Linked DNA regions of Stegostoma tigrinum. The protein of the gene in region 1 interacts with the protein of each later gene in a pairwise test. Links are inferred from orthologs where the notes say so. Each region holds a gene or a part of one and is shown on either strand. Other genes may lie near its edges.

What was found.
Region 2: the proteins of ipcef1 (region 1) and cytohesin-3 interact in binary tests that used the Homo sapiens proteins (3 or more experiments, as listed by UniProt). The link is inferred for Stegostoma tigrinum from reciprocal best matches to the Homo sapiens genes IPCEF1 and CYTH3.

Annotation. Positions count from the first base shown.
Region 1 is NC_081362.1:38,132,702-38,143,819, reverse strand, and holds the start of ipcef1 (interactor protein for cytohesin exchange factors 1), read left to right. Parts: upstream 1-5,483; 5' UTR 5,484-5,509; coding exon 5,510-5,563; intron 5,564-11,118. UniProt on the Homo sapiens protein: Enhances the promotion of guanine-nucleotide exchange by PSCD2 on ARF6 in a concentration-dependent manner.
Region 2 is NC_081376.1:34,542,796-34,554,048, forward strand, and holds the start of cytohesin-3, read left to right. Parts: upstream 1-6,758; 5' UTR 6,759-6,918; coding exon 6,919-6,937; intron 6,938-11,253. UniProt on the Homo sapiens protein: Promotes guanine-nucleotide exchange on ARF1 and ARF6. Promotes the activation of ARF factors through replacement of GDP with GTP. Plays a role in the epithelial polarization.

The DNA.
Region 1 (11,118 bases):
ATGTCCAGCAGTCTCTTAAATGACCCCAATGACCTTGCTTCCACAACTGCTGCTGGAAACGCGTTCCATGCTCTCACAACTCTCTGTGTAAAGAACCCGCCTCTGACATCCCCTCTATACTTTCCACCAACCAGCTTAAAACTATGACCCCTCGTGCTAGCCATTTCTGCCCTGGGAAATAGTCTCTGGCTATCAACTCTATCTATGCCTCTCATTATCTCATAGGAGTGGAAAGGTCTTTTTTCAAGTGGCAGCCAGTGGCTAGTGGGCTACGGCATATATTCACTATATATGTTAAAGATTTAGTTGCAGGAATTAAACGTAATATCTCCAAGTTTGCAGATGAAACAAAGCTGGGTGGGAGCGTGAGCTGTGAAAAAATGCAGAGATGGTTCAGTGTCATTTGAACCAGTTGAGTGAGTGGACAACTGCATGGCAGATGAAGTATAATGTGGATAAATGTGAGATTTTCCACTTTGGTAGCAAAAACAGAAACATGGATTTTTATCTGAATGGCTACAATTTTAGAGAGGGAATATGCAATAAGGCAGGGTGTCTTTCTACGCCAGTCACAGAAGGTAAGCCTGTAGATGCAGCAGGTGGTGAAGAAGGCAAGTGATATGTCAGTCTTCATAGCAAGAGGATTTGAGAACGGGGCAGGGATGTTTTGCTGCAATAGTGCAGGGCCTTGCTGAGACTGCACCTGGAGTGATGTGTGCAGTTTTAGTTTCTTTATCTGGGCAAAGATATTCTGCCTTTGGAGCAAGTGCGACAATGGTTACCAGACTGATTTCTGGGATGGCAGTCTAAAGTACGAAGAGAGAGTGGTTTTGGTAAGTTGTATCCACTGGGGTTTAGAAGAATGGATAGTGTCACATAGAAACTTGTAAAATTTGCATAGGGCAATATAGGGTAAATGGAGGAGGGATGTCCCCAATAACCATAGAGCCCAGAATGGGGATCACAGCCTAAGAATATGGAATGGGCTGTTGAGGAGAGAGATGAAGAGGACTTTCTTCACCCAGAGAGTGGAACCTATGGACTTCTCTATTACAGAAAGTAGTTGAGACCACAACACAGAATATTTTTGAGAAGGAGTTGGATATAGTTCGCAGGGTGATAGGGAATCAAAGGATTTAGGGAGAATGCAAGATCAAGGTTCTCAGCTGGATCATCAGTTATGATCATACTGACTACCAGAGCATGCTCAAAGAGACAAGTGGCCTATTTCTGCTCCAATTTTCTATGTTTCTGTCCCTGCACAAAACACGAAAATTTGGATGGTTTATCATTCATCCTTCCCATCACTAACTCACAATTTGTTTCTCTTTTACAAATTGTTGCTGTTTGTGGCTGAGACAATAATATTGAGGGCAACTATTCATCAGGTAATCGACAAAAAGATGTGAAAATTACATATGGCGATATTATTTGTGAAAGAGACAGGCAGTTCCAAATCTGGAATGGCTAAATTAATAACATGCAAGCATTTATCAAACCTGACTAATCTGATACAAATTGTATCATGATGTGATATTTGTGCCCTGATATTAATCACTGTTCTTGTTCTCAACAATTTAAAGACATTCCTGTTTTGCTGAAATTTTTATTTCACCAGAATTGAAGAAGAACATAGAACATAGAACATTACAGTGCAGTACAGGCCCTTCGGCCCTCGATGTTGCGCTGACCTGTGAAACCAATCTGAAGCCCATCTAACCTACACTATTCCATTATCATCCATATGTTTACCCAATGACCATTTAAACGCCCTTAAAGTTGGCAGAAGACTGACAATTTTTTAAATAAGACACGGGTAGAGATCAATTCAGAGATAGTAAGAACTGCTAATGCTAGAGAATCTGAGATAACAAGGTGTAGAGCTGGATGAACACAGCAGGCCAAGCAGCATCAGAGGAGCAGGAAAGCTGACGTTTGGGTCTGAACCCTTCTTCAAAAAATGGAGAGGAGAAGGGGATTCTGAAATAAATACAGAAAGAGGGGGAGGCAGATGGAAGATGAATAAAGGAGCAGATAGGCAGAGAGGACACAGACAGGCCAAAGAGGCAGGGATGGAGCCAGTAAAGATGAGTGTAGGTGGAGAGGTAGGGTCGGCATAGGTCAGTCCAGGGAGGACAGACAAGTCAAGGAGGTGGGATGATGCTGGTAGGTAGGAGATGGGGGTGGTGCTTGAGGTTGGAGGACTGGATAGGTGTGAAAAAGGACAGACAGGTTAGGGAAGCGGGGTTGAGGTGGGCTGGTGTTGGGGATGTGGTCAGGGGAGGGGAGATTTTGAAGCTTATGAAATCCACATTGATACCATTGGGTTGCAGGGTTCCCAAGCGAAATATGAGGTGCTGTTCCTGCAACCTTCAGGTGGCATTGCTGAGGGAGATTCTGTTTTGGTAGTTGTTGCAGGGAGGGGTTGTGAAGGATGAGTTGCAGGAAATGCAAGAGACATGGTGAAGGGCGTTTTCGATCACTATGGACGGGAAGTCGCGGTGTGGAATGTCTCACCACGGGACCAGATGTGGCAGAGGTGAAGGAATTGGGAATAGGGGATGGCATTTTTGCAGGAAGGTGGGTGAGAGGAGGTGTTATCTAGGTAGCTGTGGGAGTTGATAGGCTTAAAATGGATATCGGTTTCTAGGTGATAGCCAGAAATGGAAGCAGAGAGGTCCAGGAAAGAGACAGAGGTATCAGAAATGGTCCAGGTGAACTTAAGGGTGGGGTGGAAGGTATTAGTGAAGTGGATGAACTGTTTGTGCTCCTTGTGGGAGCACGAGGCGGCACTGATACAGTCATCGATGTAACGGAGGAAGAGGTGGGGGATAGGGCTAGTGTAGCTTTGGAAGAGGGATCGTTCCACATATCCTACAAAGAGGCAGACATAGCTTGGGCCCATGCGGGTACCCATGGCTTCCCCCTTTGTCTATAAACGTGGAAGGAATTGAAGGAGAAATTGTTGAGGGTGAGGACAAGTTCAGCCAAGCCGATAAGTGTGTCAGTGGAGGGGGACTGGTCGGGCCTGCAGGTCAGGAAGAAGCAGAGGGCCTTTAAGACATCTGTATGGGGAATGCAAGTGTACAACTGGACATCCATGGTAAAGATGAGGTGTGGGGACCAGGGAATCGGAATTTTTGGAGGAGGTAGAGGATGTGGGTGGTGTCATGGATATATGTAGAGAGTTCCAGGACCAAGGGGGAGAAAATGGAGTCGAGATAGGTGGAGATACTTTTGGTGGGGCAGGAGCAGGCACAGACAATGGGTCGACCAGGGCAGTCAGGTTTGTGGATTTTGGGAATGAGATAGAAGTGGGCGGTGTGGGGTTGGGGAACGATGAGGTTGGAGGCTGTGGGTGGGAGGTCACCTAACACGATGAGGTTGTAGGTGGTTTGGGAGATGATGGTTTGGTGGTCGGAGGTGGTGAAGACCCAACAGGGCTTGGTGCTACCTCCACATCACTGAGGCCAGATGCTAGCTCTTTGACAACTCCTCCTACTGGCCCCTGGATCATGACCCCACCCCCAACCATCTGCTCCTTTATCCATCCTCCATCAGCCTCCCCCTCTCTCTCTATTTATTTCAGAATCCCTTTCTCTTCCTTCATTTCAGAAGAAGGGTCCAGACTCAAAATGTCAGCTTTCCTGCTCCTCTGATGATGCTTGGCCCCATGTGTTCATCCAGCTCTATACCATGTTATCTTGGGGAGAGATCAACTCATCTTTAGCTCTATTATTGTAATGTGTTCGCAGTATGTGGAAGTAATTACTAAGGGAAATGGGGAGGTTGCTTTTTATATGCAACTTCATCTATAGTAGCTGTAGTAGACAGCTGTGAAACATTGACCTTTATAGATATTTACATAAATAGAAAATAAACTCTTTGACTTGAAATTTTGAACAGATTACATCCAGATCTTGTTGAGAAATTTGTATTATAAATTTGAAGTATAATTTCCGAGATTTTCTGCGTTATCACTCCTTGTTCACCTTCCTGCCTTTTGCTCCATGCACTGGTGACAGACAAAGCATTTTGGTAGCAAATGGTACCAAATTCATCTGTCTAAGTACTTTTTCTCCTGAGTTACTTGCTGCAGCATGCAGGAAATTAATCTAATTCCTGGAAACCCTGAACAATTATTGCTAGCATTTCATTCAGCTATGAGAGATGAATGCTCTTAGTCTTGTGTAAGAAGTAAAATAACTTGTTCAACTTGCCCTCTTTTTCAACCACTCGAAAGTAAGGAGGTAGTGTGCCAGGTGACAGGTGCTTTAGGGAATAGGCTGCCAAAGCAGGTGTGAGATAGGATGACAAGTGCATGAGTGGGTGTAGTGCCAGTTATGTGAGTATGAAGGAAAGGGATGCCAGATAGGTGAGGCAATTGGATGGCAAGTATGTAGATGCTTACTGTAGTCAGAGTGGATTGGGGACCAGTTTGTCTCCAGTGGGGATGTGTTTCGAGTCAAGAGGAGTCAGGAGATCAGGTCAGATTTGACAAAGGTGTTGTTGGATTTTTCCAGGAGGACTATTAAGTTTAAGTCAGTCAGAACCTTTCAATGTGTTTGACTCTAACTTTGAGTTTGGGCCTTTTTTGGAGGCTTTGGGGTACTGGGTAATTGCGCATCCAGAAATTCAACTTCTAATGCAATTCCCAAAGGAGCCCAGCACTTTCAGGCCTTCCATGTAGTCGCGATGTACAAAACCAGTCACCACTGCTGCAATAACAGTTCTCTTCTTAGAAGATCAAGGCCTTTACTTCCAGGATAATATTGAGAGCTGACGAGATTCATTATGTCAGGGATCTGCAACCTGTCCTTCTGAAGCTGCATATAACTCACATTAGTGACTTGTGTAACTCCTGATTTTGATCAATCAATCCCATTTTGATAATTCAGTAATTTGTTTGTAATGTTTTAAAATTTTATTGACAACATAATTGTGAGACAGTATCAGTCAAGCAACAAAATGGTTAAAATGTTGTCAAAATGTGCTAATCCTTTTTTAAAATTATTATCAATGTTTGAGTAACGGCATTGGGTTTTTAAGATATGGTGTTTTGCCATGTGGTTGCTCTGGTCAGTTAGGTTGTCAAAGTCTGCACTATGTGTCTATCAAACTCTGCTTTAATTTCACCAGCCCGGAACTCCACGATAGCCAGAACTGGGTGGTTGTTAGAATTTCTTTCTGCACTTAATCACACTTATTTACTTTATGTTGGAGACAAGGTTTCTTTTTCTGAGCAACTTTGCAACTTGTGTAGGTTCTAAGACGACTGAACAAACATGCACATCTTCCGCATGTAATCTGTTTATCTGAAATGACATCATTGCAGGTCAGATCATTTTGAGTGATTTAAAGGGATCCATTATACAGTCAAGAATATGAGCAGCAGCTTTTGGAAAGTCTTTCAGCCACAGTCTGTAAGATGATGATATTGCATGCTCCCTTCCGCTTGATTTATTTGTAGCTCTGACCAGTTTGGGTAGAACTTCCTGTGTTTTTTGACATGATATCATTAACTAATGCAGCTACAGAGAGTGCCAGTAGCTTGGGAGCCTTGGTATGTAATATCTGTTTTTATTTTTTGTCTTTTTTTAAAATTTGCATGTGTTTGTACACTTGATTGTAAATTTTTAAGGACAGGTTTGTGTCAATGGATTTCATTGTTCCTAGGTTAAAAAGAGAAATGCTGCATGTCTGATAAGGGCTGTTTTCTCAGAAACTTTACATGAAATTATTTTTGTACAGACTTCTAAGCAATGGATCATAATGTTCTGCATTTAAAAAAGTTAAAATTACATCTGGGTGAATTGACAATTAATGACTGTATTGAGATAACTGTTTGAAAAATGTAAATACTTTAATTCACGACTTTATGTAATATAAATTGTCTTTTAAATTGTTTAATATTATGTCCTGTGAATATCTATTTCATTTCTCATATTGAAATTCAGAAGGTTTTGTCATGAATACTTTGGAATTATGTGGTGTTGTGATGTTGCTAGATCCCAATGTATTGGTTAAAACCTACTGTATAGGGAGCTTCATATCCACAATTCTTTGTACCAGTATTTGCTAACACCAACAAAGCAAGGAGTTTAAGCAAGTATTACCAAGTAGTAGTGGCCATAGTGATAGATGCAAGGACTGTTACAGCAGATGTCTTTTCACTCTGGCTGTTGGCCTTGAGGTGATCTAGAAAAAGGTCATGCAGCACATCTTGGGTTTCAGTCACCCAACAGAGCATATTTCTCAATCTTCCTCCTCTTATTTGCACCCAGTTATTTCTGATGTCTACAGCAACAAAAACAAGTTTTCTTCAATGACGGCTCCATTTCCCTTTAGATGTTTAATAATTTTAAGAAGTCAGTTTGAACATCTTGCTGTATTCAAAGGTCTTCCACATGTAAGAATGTGAATATTTTGTGCTCTGATTTCTGTAGAGACAAATTTTAAAAAGAAATTTCAGCATCCAGTTAAATAGCTGAAAGATCAACAGGTCAAGATGTCATATTTAAGATTTACTGCAACAAGTAACTTAAAAACATTTTTAACTAAACACTATCTTTGTCAGCAACTTGTATTTTCACCCTCAGAACAGCAAACCGACCTTCTCGTTCTTAGTCCTAGTGAAAATACACTTCAACACTGTTCTTTGAATAGGCAATTATTTTTTACCAAAATCTTAGCTCCCAAGGGTTTATTCCCATACTTTTCTCAGCCTCTTAACTTGCAAACTTAGAACTGCTTTTCACAGTAAAGTTTCAGTTTCCCAGAGATTCTGTCTCAAGCTGAAAGAGGGTAACCCTCCCTAACTGCATTATGGGTCTACCTACATCATATGGGGTGGCACAGTGGCTAGCACTGCTGCCTCACAGCACCAGGGACTTGGGCTCGATTCCACCCTCAGGTGACTGTCTGTGTGGAGTTTTCACGTTCTCCCTGTGTCTGTGTGGGTTTCCTTGAGGTGCTCCAGTTTCCTCCCACAGTCCAAAGGTGTGCAGGCTAGGTGGATTGGCCATGCTAAATTGCCCCATGGTGTTCAGAGATTTGTAGATTTGGTGGCTTATAGGGAGATGGATCTGGATGGTATGTTTGAGGGTCAGTGTGGACTTGTTGGGCCAAAGGGCCTGTTTCTACACTATAGGGATTCTATGCACTGCAGTGATTCAAAAAGACAGCTCACCACCACCCTTATGGTAGCTAGCGATGGGCAACAAAAGATGGTCTAGCCAGTGACCATCGCATGAATGAATAAAGAAAACAAATCCGAGTTTTCTGCACTCCTGTGTGCAAACTATTGAAACTTTTTAGTCTCTAATTTCTCCTTCTCTTCCACATCCAGATAGACACAAAACACTGTCAGCTATTCAGTGGTATTCTCGGAAAACCTGTGATCCAATTTTTACATTGGCTGCCTCTGAACCCTCCCCATCACAATGTTAATCCCATGGGTCATTTACCTCGATAGAAATGCTCACTAGCTATCTTTGAGAGCTCAATTTTCTTTGAACTTGGAAATAAATGGACAGTTAAAAGCACAATCAATTAAAACCTGACATTGTCACTATTTTTCTGAGGTTTTGGCAATTTACGGTCTCCAATGTTAACGCAAATGCTGCTGCCATTCTTTTCATTCCAGAAATGCTGTTACTCACAACTGAATGTATTTTTCCCCCATCACTAAATCATCCTTTTTTTAAGGATATTAACCACCATCAGTAAATCACCCTCGTTTTCCAATTGAATAATTTACACACAAAGTCCATTGACGTCAATTCAGACCACCAAAGTTGAGGTAGTGGGGCTGGAGGCTAAATTATAATGGAGTTGAATGGGGAAATAAAACAGTCTACCTGTTGTGGTGCCCAGCTCTCTCTAAAGGCTCAAGAGTATTGGTGAACACCTTGTGCTCCTTCTTCAAGAATACCCAGGCACGAACGTACCCACAGAAAAGCAGAGGCTGCTGCCATTGCCTCCAAGTTTAAATTCCCTGTGCCTGTTCCCGTTAAAACAATGTGACCCCTTCTTTGATTTAATGATCGAACCACCCACTCTGACCGATAGACAGATTTCAGAACTGGTCACGCAACTACCTTCATTGTGCCTTAAATTTAATGACATGGTCCCAAAACATAAAAATTGACTAAACCTCATAATTGAAACAATTGTTTTTCACGAGGGTGTTAATGATGAAATTAATTTGCAATTATTGCCACAAATGTGGGGAAGTGGAAAATAAATACCAAAATGCAATGTTGTTGAAGCAAGGGTTACATTGACACTGAAATTAGTTGAGTTAGTTGCTATTACATCTTTTAAAGAGAATTGCAAACTCTGTTTAGAGATATTCCCAGAAATTTGGCCATGTGACATCTGTCAAATGTGTTTAGTTTGTATCAAAGAGATGGGGCTCTTCGTGATTAAATGTTCATGTCAGTCGTTATTATGTGAGTGGTTGTCCAAACCAAGGAGTCATCTGTAAGCAAGACATGTGGGGGAGCACAGAAGAGGGAGAAATTCACAAAAGACAGCAAACATTGCAGGTATTGATTTTACCAGTGACTCTAATAAAACAAAATTGTACGAACATCAGTTTAGCAATGACATGAATGAATTCACAGCAGCAATTGCTTCTGAACCAACCAGTGTCATGACTGAAGTGGGAAAAGTACACGATAATTGGATCCTACTATTTCCCAAGTTGTGCTAAAATGCATAAAATTCTAGTTAGATCATGAAAATCAGCAATTTCCTTGTCAGCCTGCCATTCAGGAGAATAGAAGTCTACACTAAATTTTGTCATAAGCAGAGAATAACTCTTCATTGTAATCACACTGGCAAAAGTCAGGGGAAAGAAAAAGTATTTCTAATCCACTTTCAGCCTTAAAAAAAAACAAATAATGTATTGATTCGGTATTAAGACAGATAAAAGACGCATAGCTTGCCACAGATACACCAAGTGGGAGAACATATACAGGGAAAACAAAGTTCGGAAGATTAAAAGTCCAAATCAAAAGGTAGAATGTTATTTCTCATAGTCAATTTATACTTAGGTTACACACAGAATCATAGAATCCCAAGAGTGTGGAAACAGGCCCTTCACTGCAATAAGTCCACACCGATCCTCAGAGGATCCCACACAGACCCATCCCCCTATAACCCACTTAATTGACGCATCCCTGAACATTATGGGCAATTTAGCATGGCCAATCCAACTAACCTGCACATCGTTGTATTATGGGAAGAAACCGGAGAACCTGGAGGAAACCCATACAGACATGGGGAGAGTGTGCAAACTCCACACAGACGGTGGCCCGAGGGTGGAATCGAGTCTGGGTCCCTAGCCTTGTGAGGCAGCAGTGCTAACCACTTATAACGTCTGGAACCAAACCCAGTGACTACACAAAGGCCAATAAGCTCTTTCTTTGTGACACTTCTCAATGGCAATTGCCCCAAACTCAGCTCAGCAACAATATTTCTAAGCCATTCCCTCGGCTCTGTCTGGATAAAAGAGAATTTTTAATTGAGTGATACAAATTTCTTTGCAGGAGAGGCTATTATCCTCTTGACTTCAACCCTACTGGTACCTGTACCTGTATTGAGACTCTTTCCTGAACTTACATTCCCCTGGACTCTTTAAACATTTATGTCAATTCCATTTTAATGGTCTTCTCTGCAACTGATTAACCACTTGTGGTGAAAAATCCCAAATTGTGGCCAATGTAAAAATGATCCTTCTTCCTTCCATAATAACATAAAACAAAGAATTGTTGATTTTGGAAAGCAGAAATAATACAGAAATTGCTGGAAAAATTCAACAGGCCTGGCAGTATCAGTGGAGAAAATGCAGAGTGAATGTTTCAGATCCAATAACCCTTCTTCAGAACTAAAAGTAGCTGATTCTTTCTTCCATCTTGGTTATTCAATGAGAGTCTGAATTCTCTGTTTCTTCATTCCCCATTTACCATCCATTGGGAACAACTTTCGTAAATGACAGTGAATTGCTAATTTATACTCATCCAATTACTGGGTGCACCTCACTGCGCCAATTCCACATAATACTTTGCTGCTGAACCAACGTCTGTGGAAATTCTGGTGACTATGTCTTTCTCATTTCTGAGTATGTATATATGCATCAAGGTTTAAAACTCAAGACCTCTTCCCCACCTGCCTAAGAATTAAACCCTTGAGACCCCCACCTCTTCTACACATGAACAACACTCTCCTGAACTTCCTCAACTCTGGGCAGCTGCCAATCATTCTTCCTGCTCTGATCTTCTCAGTTTTTGGTAACCCATTCCTTCCCATGCTCTGAATGTTCAGCATCCTTCAGCCACTGTTCACTGTTCTCCAACCTGCCATCTGGTGCTGATTCTATCTTGTCAAAAACCCTGCATGACCTCTGACTCCTCACTAATTCACTGTGACTCAGTCCCACTTCCAACAACCCTTAATCAGGGAGATTAATTTTAGAAAGAGCTAGCACAAGCAGAATAGCAGAATGGCCTCCTGGGAGCTACATATCTGTCACTCTGCATAGCTCTTAGAAATCAAGAAGTGGTTTTGGCAGAGCTGAGTAAAAACCTAACTTTATTTTGGTGATATTTAAGCCTTTGTTTTGATTGGGGTTGTGGTAGGTAATTTTTCATATCAGTTGTGGTTAAACCTTTGCCTGAAGGGATTTTTTTTTCCTTTTGCAGGTGTATAAGCTACAGTTCTGAAAAGAACCAATATCTGTTACACAGCCTCAGTCTATACCCATCTATGAAGCTTGTGCATGTTTTATTACTGTATTGTTGAAACCAAATTTAAATGACATATGCTGAGTGTGTCCATTTTTAGATATTGCATGCACCGTATTTTAGCATAATTGTACCAAAATAGATGTTTGTGTTTGGTTAGATTTTTTTCAAGTAATGTGCAAAAGGAGTTCTTATAGGCCACAATGCATGAATCACTCGCTGCTTTTATCTTTGAATTTTCATTCTGGGAGTCTGATGTCTGGGAGCCAGCCCATTGTCTGTGCTGTTGTATCAGTTTTCCGTCTCCTGGCGACAGATTCATAGTTTTTAATTGCCTGCTGCATGGGAAAACCAGGTTTAACCATTTAGA
Region 2 (11,253 bases), on another chromosome or scaffold:
CCCCAACTGGGAGGAAGCATTCCAGTCTGGTGATTGTTGTGCGATGTCCATTCATCTGTTGGACTCATGATGAGGAATCACTGAAATGACTACATAGTGATATCAACAGGTTTCATCCCATCATCGGACTTACCATGGACTTTATTTCAGAATCATTCACATTCTTGGAAACTTGCAACTCCATCTAGGACAGACAACTCAGTACCTCACTCTAACCGCAAGTCCATGGATAACGTTACCATTTTGCACTTCTCTAGCTTCAATCCTAAACATATTAAAGAAGCTCCCCCTATGGACAAGCCATGAGCGTGCACAGGATCTGCTCAGATGAGGAGGAACACAACAGGCACCTAAAGATTTTGAAGGATGCCCTCATGAGAACGGGAAAAACATGAACCAGAAAGAAAAAAGCATATCATTGTGAAAAGACAAATGCCACTTCAAATAATTGGTCAGAATATTAAAAAAGGTAGAGAATGATAAAAAAATTAATCAGAAGCAAGAAATTAGAGCATGAGAGGATGCCATCCAGAAAAGTAAAAACAGTAACAGGTTCTAAAGGTACTTGAAAAGGAAAAGAATAAATAAAGGGAGTGTTATTCCTCTAAATAACGAGAATAGTAGATAATAAAATGATAGATGTAATGAAAATATATTTTGCTTCTGTATTCACCACAGAGGATAAAAGAATTTAGTAATAGTTATGAATCGGGGGTGAGAGACAGAGAGGAACCTAATAAAATTACTATCTTGAGGGAAGCAGGACTAAGTTGAATACATGAGTCAGGATATCATGTTGCAGAATTATAAGACTTTGGTTAGGTCACACTTAGAGGATTACATTCGGTTCTGGTTGCCACATTACAGGAAGGATGTGGAGGATTTGGAGAGGGTACAGAAGAGGTTTACCAGGATGCTGCCTGGATTAGAGGGTATGAGCTGGAAGGAGAGGCTAGAAAAGCTAGGGTCACTTTTTCTGGAATGGTGGAGGCTATAGGGTTGATGGTTAGATCTTTTTCCCAGAGTTGAAATGTCTATAACTAGGGGCATGTATTTAAGGTGAGAAGGGGAAAGTTCGAAAGAGATGTGAAGGACAAGTTTTTTTTCACAGAGTGGAAGGAGCCGAGAATGCGCTGTCGGGCTGATAATGGAGGCATGTACGATAGGGATGTTTAAGAGACTTAGATAAGCACATGAATATGCAAGGAATGGAGGGCTATGGACCAAGGGAAGCGGAAGGGATTAGTTTAGTTTGGCATCATGTTTGGCACAGCATTGTGGGCCGAAGAGCCCATCCCTGTATTGTATTGTTCTATGTTCTAAACTGATGGAGCTGGTGCCTGACAAATCTCTGGGTCCAGTGGGGCTTTAGCCTACAGTTTTACAAGAGATGGCTAATGAGGTTGTATGTGCCTTAATGTTAGTTTTCCCAAAATTCTTTAGATTCAGAAAAGGTTCCTTTGAACCGGAACATAATAAACATAACACCTTTATGTAAGAAGAGGGAAGCAGAAAACAATAAACCAAATGGATTGACATCTAGAAAAATGTTAAAGCCGATCATTAAAGGCATTTTAGTTGCACAGTTAGGAAAGCTTGGGGTAATTGTGGATGGGCCAGCATGGTTTGGTAAAAGAAAAATCATGTTTAACCAATTTATTAAAGTCTTTGAAGGAGAAACATGGATACAGAGAAGTCTGTAGACATACTGTACATTGATTTCCAGAATGAAAGGTGCCACATGAAAGATTATTGCTGAAAATAGAAACTCATAGAATTGGAGTAGCATTTGAGAATGGATACAGTCAAAAGCTAAACAGGTTGGATTGGAAATTCGAAAATGACAGGTGATCTCATTGAAACACATAGGTTTCTTAAAGGGCTTAACTGGGTAAATTCTCAGGAAATGCTTCCCGTCATGGAGAGCCTAGGCTTGGCAGGCATTGTCTTAATGTAAAGTCTGCCAATTTAAGATTGAGATAAGGATGAATTTCTTCTCTCAGTGGGTTGTCACTTTCTGTAACCCCTCACCACAGCCAGCTGTGGGGGCAGAGTCCTGTATACATTTCAGTTCTCGAGCACCCTTTTCCTCGGGTGGCTGAAGGCTGTGCTAGCACACTAGAGGTGATGCCAGATCTTTTCATCAATAGTTGATTTGGCTGACTGGACGCTTCAAAGGTGTTGGAAGTGGTCAGTGTTCTCTAAGGCCTCCCCAGGGGCCAGGATGATTCAGGGTTCACTCCACAATTCCAAGCCAAGTTGATGGAGGACCTTCAACTTGCGGATATTCAAAGTGAGCGCCATGCTCTCATTTAGCCTCCATAAAGATGTTGATGATGGTCTGGAGTTCTTCCTCTGAGTTTGCACATATGCAAGCATCATCTGTGTACTACAGCTCAATGACACTGGTTGGGGTGACTTTCGTTTTGGCTTGAAGGTGGTGGCGGTTGAATAATTTCTCGCTGGTTTTGTAGGTTAGCTCCACTGTAGCAGGGACCTTGTCAGTGCTGAGGTGAAGAACTGCAGTGAAGTAGAACAGGAACAGTGTTAGGACGATGATACAGCCCTGCTTTACACTGGTCTGAATGGGAAATGGATCGATGGTGGAGCCATACATCATTACCATGACTTCCATGTTGTTGTGGAGCAGGCAAAGGATGGTGACAAACTTCATGGTGCAATCAAAGCAGAGAAGGACGCTCCATAATGCTAAGATAACAAAATGTGAGGCTGGATGAACACAGCAGGCCAAGCAGCATCCCAGGAGCACAAAAGCCGACGCCTCGGGCCTAGACCCTTCATCTCTGATGAAGGGTCTAGGCCCGAGGCGTCGGCTTTTGTGCTCCTGGGATGCTGCTTGGCCTGCTGTGTTCATCCAGCCTCACATTTTGTTATCTTGGAATTCTCCAGCATCTGCAGTTCCCATTATCTCGCTCCATAATGCTTCCTGGTTGATGGTGTCAAATGTCTTTGTGAGCTTTGTAAAGGGTGCACTAACATCAGATCCGACACCAAGGCTATGGTATACAAAGCTGTGGTAGTTCTTGCTCACCTATACGGCTTTGAGACATGGTCTGTCTACAGCAGACGCCTCAACACCGCCTGCGCAAGATTCTGCAAATCCACTGGGAAGGCAGATACACCAACACCAAGACCAACATCTCCAGCATTGAGGCACTGACCATCCTTGATCAGCTGAGCTGGGATGGGCACATCGTCCGAATGACTGACACAAGACTCCCCAGGCAGCTGCTCTACTCCCAGCTACAATACGGTAGGCAAGCCCCATGTGGGCAGAGGAAGAGCTTCAGTGATACACTCAAGGCTTCCCTGCTGAAGTGCGGCCTTCCCACAGATACCTGGGAATCACTGGCCCAAGACCATCCAAAGTGGAGGAGGAGCATTTGGCCGAGCACCTTGACTACTTGCCATCAAGTTAAAATGGAAGCCTGGTGAAAACAGCAAAAGGAACGGGCTACCACCACACCAATGCACTACCCACCCCTTCCTGTGACCACCACCTGCTCCAAGTGTCACAGAACCTGGGTAGCTGCATCAGTCTGTACTGCTACTTCTGGACTCACCCTGACAGTGAGAGAGAGTCATCCTTGTCTGTGAGAGATCACTGATGATGATGATATTTAAGACTGAGACAGATTCTTGATCAGTAAGGGAATCAAGAGTTAGAAGGAAAGTGCAAGAAAGTGGAATGTGAGCCATGAATCTACTGAATTGTAGAGCAGGTTTGAGAGGCTAAGCGTCCTACTCCTGTTCCTATTTCTTATGGTTTTAAGATTGTCCGGCTGCCAGATAACAGAGAGCATGCAGAAAATCAGACTGGTAGGAGATACTGAGTGGAGTCCTGTAGGGAAGTGAAGACTTTGTAGCTAACCTTGCAGATAATACCAGGGTAGGTGGGAAAATACATTGTGAAGAAGATATAAAGATGTGGATCAATGTAGATATTTGAGTGAGAGCAAACATCTGGCAAATCAAGAAAATATAGGAAAATGTAAAGTTCTTCATGTTGGCAGGGAAAATGAAAAAGCAGATTGCTACTTAAATGGAGAACAACTGTGGAATTCTGAGGTGCAGTTTAATTTAGGAGTTTAAATGCATGAGTCACAAAAAGTTAGTAAACAGTACGGCATGTAGTTAAGAAAACTAATGGGATACTATCCTTTATTATGAGATGAATTGAAGATAAAACAAGGAAGTTAAATCATATAGGGTGTTTTTGAGACCACATCTGAAATACTGTGTGCAGATTTGGTCTACTTATTTAAGGCGGAAAGTAAAGGCATTGGAGGCAATTCATTGGAGAATTAGGGTGAGAGATGCAGTGGCTTTTGTTAAGATTCATCCAGAGTAGTTTCACAATGTAGTACTCTGTGCTCCATGGGCTGCTCCCTGGGTGCATATAAACACCGTCATCAACTTGGAACCTTCAACATAGTGGAAGACGCTCTTTGGTCTCCCCAAAATCTGTTCGCCTTCCAGTGCAATGAGTTGTCGTCAACTTAGTGACGAAGATTTGTACAATCCAACATCCAGGACTGCATGCTGAAGGATGTACTAAAGTTTGGGCCAGCTGCTGGAGAAAAGTCAACATCTAAGGCCTTTGTGCCATAAAGCATTAAAATCAGGGTCCCCCTATTTAAAACAAAGATGGGGCTTTTTTTTGACTCTCGATGAGTTGTAGGTTTTTGGAACTCTTTTCCTGAAAGGGTGGTGGAAATATAATCCTTGAATATATTTTAGGCATATTTGGATCAATTCTTGATTTTTATATAGAATTCCTGCAGTATGGAAACAGGCCATTTGGCCCACCAGCCATTTGAAGAGCATCTCACCCAGACCCAGCTGCCTACCCTTTCATTGTAGCTCTGTATTTCCAATGGCTGATGCACCTAACTTACACATTGCTGAACACTACAGGCAATTTAGCATGCCCAGTCCACCTGGCTTTCACATTTTTGGACTGTGGGAGGTAACTGGAGCACCCTGCAGAAACCCAAGCAGGCACGGGAAGAACAGCAAACTCCAAGCAATTACCCAAGGGTGGAATCAAAACCAAGTCCCTTGTGCTGTGATAATAAAATGTGAGGCTGGACGAACACAGCAGGCCAAGCAGCATCTCAGGAGCACAAAAGCTGACGTTTCGGGCCTAGACCCTTCATCAGAGAGGGGGATGGGGGGAGGGAACTGGAATAAATAGGGAGAGAGGGGGAGGCGGACCGAAGATGGAGAGTAAAGAAGATAGGTGGAGAGAGTGTAGGTGGGGAGGTAGGGAGGGGATAGGTCAGTCCAGGGAAGACGGACAGGTCAAGGAGGTGGGATGAGGTTAGTGGGTAGCGGGGGGTGTGGCTTGGGGTGGGAGGAAGGGATGGGTGAGAGGAAGAACCGGTTAGGGAGGCAGAGACATGTTGGACTGGTTTTGGGATGCAATGGGTGGGGGGGAAGAGCTGGGCTGGTTGTGTGGTGCAGTGGGGGGAGGGGACGAACTGGGCTGGTTGAGGGATGCAGTCGGGGAAGGGGAGATTTTGAAACTGGTGAAGTCCACATTGATACCATATGGCTGCAGGGTTCCCAGGCGGAATATGAGTTGCTGTTCCTGCAACCTTCGGGTGGCATCATTGTGGCAGTGCAGGAGGCCCATGATGGACATGTCATCAAGAGAATGGGAGGGGGAGTGGAAATGGTTTGCGACTGGGAGGTGCAGTTGTTTTATGCGAACTGAGCGGAGGTGTTCTGCAAAGCGGTCCCCAAGCCTCCGCTTGGTTTCCCCAATGTAGAGGAAGCCGCACCGGGTACAGTGGATGCAGTATACCACATTGGCAGATGTGCAGGTGAACCTCTGCTTAATGTGGAATGTCATCTTGGGGCCTGGGATGGGGGTGAGGGAGGAGGTGTGGGGACAAGTGTAGCATTTCCTGCGGTTGCAGGGTGAGGTGAGGTAGGAGTGCTAGCCACAGAGTTAAACTTGCCACTTGTTGGGCAAGGATTATCAGTGGTAGGCAAGGGCATGGATTTGAGATTAAGATCAGATCAACCATGATCTTATTGAATGGTGGAGCAGTTGTGATGGGCAGATAAGCCTACTCTTTCTCCTGGTTTGACAGTTTGCATGCACTATTCAAGTCTAAATGCAGACTGTGTTTCACCAATTTCTTCTTCCAATGGGTGGTTATTTATACCTATCGTCATTTTCAAGATCACGTAAAGTAGTAAACTTGTTTAAAAATGATTGCACACCTATCTTCTTTTCTCTCCATCTTCGGTCCGCCTCCCCCTCTCTCCCTATTTATTCCAGAACCCTCTCCCCATCCCCCTCTGTGATGAAGGGTCTAGGCCCGAAACGTCAGCTTTTGTGCTCCTGAGATGCTGCTGGGCCTGCTGTGTTCATCCAGCCTCACATTTTATTATATTGCACTCCATTGCGTTAGGTTTCTTTGGTATCTTGACCAATAAACGTCAAGTCAGTTGGAACGTATCCTTTGGTATATATTTCATTATAAATTTCCATTGTCACTACTAGTTCTGTTTCAAGGGTTGAGTAGCTTCTTTCCTCATTGTATGATGATGTAGAAGTAACTTTAGAAAGGGAAATTGGATAGTTTGAAAAAGAGTAACATTTTTAAGAACCCTAGATACTGTCTTGAAGGCGCTATCTAATTACAGGTTGTTGTTGGCACCCCCGGTTTCGTCATTGGTTACGTGCAAGGGCGGGGTCGGTTGGGTCACGTGACTGGGTGACGTTGCGGTTTTGGTGGATCAGTTTTTTCTGCGTCGAGCCGATTCATAAACAAACGTCGCGAGCTGGTCACCTGGTCAGAGCGCTAGTTAACTGCTAGTTAACTGGTTTAATCGCCACCTCTCCATTCACTATCCCCCTCAGCTTTCGTTACCGCATCCAGAATGGAAGCGGATCCACAGGGTAAGAACTAATAGAGCCCGAAACTACAATATATCAAACTGTTCGTGAGCAGGGACTCGGAGGGAGGAGAGGGATCGGGGAGAGAGATCGGGGGGAGAGGGATCGGGATCAGGGAGAGAAGGATCGAGGGAGAGGGATCGGGGGAGAGGGATCGGGGAGAGAGGGATCGAGAGGGAGTGGGATCTGGGGAGAGGGAGCGGGATCAGGGAGAGAAGGATCGAGGGAGAGGGATCGGGGGAGAGGGTTCGGGGAGAGAGGGATCGAGAGGGAGTGGGATCAGGGGGAGAAGGATCGAGGGAAAGGGATCGAGAGGGAGCGGGATCAGGGAGAGAAGGATCGAGAGGGAGAGGGATCGAGGAGAGGGATCGAGAGGAGGAGGATGATGAGAGGGAGTGGGAGGAGGTCGAGGATGAGGAGAGGGAGCGGGAGGAGGTCGAGGATGAGGAGAGGGAGCGGGAGGTGGATGAGGAGAGGGAGCAGGAGGAGGATGAGGAGAGGGAGCAGGAGGAGGAGGATGATGAGAGGGAGCGGGAGGTGGTCGAGGATGAGGAGAGGGAGCGGGAGGTGGATGAGGAGAGGGAGCGGGAGGTGGATGAGGAGAGGGAGCAGGAGGAGGAGGATGATGAGAGGGAGCGGGAGGAGGTCGAGGATGAGAGGGAGCGGGAGGAGGTCGAGGATGAGGGGAGGGAGCAGGAGGAGGTCAAGGATGAGGAGAGGAAGCGGGAGGAGGAGGATGATGAGAGGGAGCGGGAGGAGGTCGAGGATGAGAGGGAGCGGGAGGACGAGGATGTGGAGAGGGAGTGAGAGGAGGACGAGGATGAGGAGGGGGAGCGGGAAGAAGAGGAGGAGGTTGAGGAGGGAGAGCGAGAGGAGGAGGAGGAGAGGGGGCGGGAAGAAGAGGAGGAGAGGGAGGTGGAGCAGAGGGAGCGGGAAGAAGAGGAGGAGGAGAGGGAGCGGAAACAGAGAAGGACGAGGAGGAGAGGGAGTGGGAGGAGGAATAGGAGTGAGATGTGGAGAGAGAGAGAGGAGGAGGAGGATGGGGAGGGGGAGCGAGAGGAGGAGGAGTGGGGACTGGGTAAGGAGCGATGGGGGAAGAGGAGTGTTGACCAGGGAAGGAGGAGGAATGGGAGTGAGATGTGGAGAGGGAGGGAGAGGAGGAGGAGGAGGATGGGAAGAGGGGGCGAGAGGAGGAGGAATGGGGGCTGGGTAAGGAGTGATGGGGGAAGAGGAGTGTTGACCAGGGAGGGGGTTGGTGGAGGAAGAGGAGGGGTGGTTGGTGCAGAAGAAGTGGAGGGCTGGTGGTGCGAACCAAGTGAGGGATTGGGACTGCAGCCCGGCCAGTGGCCTCCACTTCAAGGCAAGCATCCTACCCCACTGCAATAACAGAGGCCGTTCTGGATCAACATTAGGTTTCCTTCAAACTTCTGTTTGATTTTCTTCTTCACCTCCTCTCCCTCAGTCTCTCCACTTGCATTACTGTGTGGTGAACCTGTTGTCACCTCCACCGTTTCTCTCTACAGATGCCCCTGTGTTTTATTGAGAGATGCGTGCTGACATTGGGGGCAGTGTTTCTTGGAATGTATTTGTCTCCCAGTCAAATAATGGGCATCTTATCCTGCGTTTTAGTATTTATATTGTAACAAGCATGTTGCTAATTAGATGTGTTGCTGCTGTCAATGTGCTGTGTAACTACGTTAAATGTGCATTTGACACAAAAAGTCTCTGTAACCTTGTACAATTGTTGTAACCGTATTCCCTCCTTTGCGAGGAGTGTTTTTAAATCTCAACTCTGAGTTAAATTGTAAAGTTTTCCCCCATACTTTGCTGCACCAATATGACTTTTTCACTGATTAACAGTGATAATTTAAACTTGCTAGTTTCCAGATGGAGCTCGCTATTTGTGTTGAACTCAAATGAGGCCAATGTGTTTCGTTATCAATATGACTGTCCTAGTTGTACTGTAAGCTGTTACTGTCCAAATTAAGCAAGAGACGTACAGTCTGTAAAGACTGAGCATTAAACCTTGTTCATAATGCAGTTTGATCAGTCATTGTAACTAGATACCTTTTAATTTTGAACACACATGGTGGTGAGGATCCTAGGGTGATAGATTTACTGTAACTTGCCCCAAATTGCCCTTGACAAGCATGAAGGTAGATCATGCATACTAATTGATTGTGAGGAGCAGTTGAGCTAAATCTTGTTGCCTCCCACCATCTAACTCCCACTTTCCACCATAGGTGGATACTGATGAGGATTCTTAGGTAATTATTTTCCTTCTCTCCCATTCCTCCCACTCTTTGCATAAGCTTGGAGGTAGTCAATACCAGTTCTAACCTCCTCCCTTCCTGTAACCTCTACATTTTGGTTAAGTGTGAATCCAACATTCCGACTTGGAATGGTCTAATCAACGCCACACATGGTTTTCTGTTTCGTCATGCAGTTTGGGAAGGAGAAAATTGTTAACTAGCTTCAGGGTAGGTGAGAATTGTGACATGTGACAGCACTGATCGAGGATAGTCAACCTATCGTGCCTGTGTTGGGGTAAATCTGTTGAATGTTGTTGAAACCTGCATGATGTAAAGGACTCAATCTTTCAGGATACACTTGCAAAGCGATGCGCACAGGGAACTATTCAGAGTTATCTAATTGGGTATTGTTGTGCTCTTTAATCTGTGTTCCTGTGGCCTTCAAATGTTCATTGTCTTCGTGCTGACAGTGTAACTATTTTTGCAGGATTCTCTGAAATGATCTCATGGCAAACTTTACAAAAGGCTAAAATGTTTGGTGTAGTTAATTTAGTTTTCATGTTTTTCTGCTGCTGACTTGTGGGATTTATTTAACATTCCAGGCTGACCATAAATGCCATAAAATTGCATTGTTGCATTCTCCACTATGGAGTTTTCTGAGATTGTTGCACCGTCATTCAGGTTTCTTCATACACACTCTCAGCAGCTCAATTTTGACAAGTTTCACATTGTTTTCCTGGAAAATCTACACTACGAGGGCATCATTCTTTTGGCAAGTGGTTCATGTGTTACCTGTTGTCATCCTTTGCTATACTGTTCTCCATTACTGTAAGTTCAGGGTTTACCTTTGGAAGGCCAGTGGCAATCCCAACTGACAACTGACTGATTACTCATTTGCTTATTGTTTTGGGACCTAAATGATGGTGCATATAAGATATGGTTTTTGCTTCCATCCCTTACAAATGAAAATACTCATCAGCCTGTTTTTAAAATAATTTGAGTAGCATGCATCCTGTTTCCGTGCATTTGTCAAGTGACCAGCTGCCTATATGAACCTCCATTCTTTGTTTTTCAAATGCAATTTGCTTTCTTCTTCCTCCAAAGTAATCCAGTCAAGAATACATTCAGCCAAGGACAGTGTGCACTTTAACCTCTTGCAACGTACTATATTTGCAAATACAGCTAGCCAAGTATATTAACTTGGCATCCAACTTGCAATTACCAATTGACACATAATTTGTGAAGTGTAGGTACAAACTGATGAGCCATTTCCTAGGATCAGATGGGTTTCCTGTATTTTTTTCTCTTTCCTGAACATATGTGAAAAGTAATTCCCATGATTTCATTTCCTCTTAGTAGTTATCCTCACAATCACTTTAATGTATAAAATTTTAATGTTTATCTTTAGATTCTTTCCCTCAACAGCAGTGTATTCTAATACCTTTGTTTACTGACTCTTATTTTTATACTGTAATTGTTTCATATTGGGCGTGTGGGATTGGTATTGGAGTAGGAGTCAGGGAGGGAAGAGACAGAAATTACTAATCAGTGACTATTGGCAGCCTCATAATGATTTGGACTGTGGTGCTGTCACAGATGAAGTGTCCAGTTCCATCCCTCGCTTAAACCTGTGAATGAATTTCCTGTTGAACTGAAGCCCAAATTGTAATGTTGTTTTCTGGTAGATTTGTGCAAAGATACATGTTTGTCGCGTCCACACTTATATTATCAACATGCTTGACATATGAGTGACCTGTTGGTATCCACACAGATTAATACTTTACAACATGCCATCTTGAATTGCTGCAAATTGTAATTTTGCCTGAGTAATATTGTACTTCTGAAAATTTTTAGTTTAATCTAATATTATAAAATACTTACACTGCAGTGAGAAGAGGCAGCATTTGGAAACTGATCTAAGATGTGCTTTTCAAGAGAAGTTATGTTGACTGCTGGTTTGTTTTGCTTTTGGGGTTAAACTTATTTCATCAGTGGAAGAATCCATGGTATTTTATTTTTATAGAGTTGGCAGGCATCTAAAACTAAGATTAATTTACCAAAAAAGAA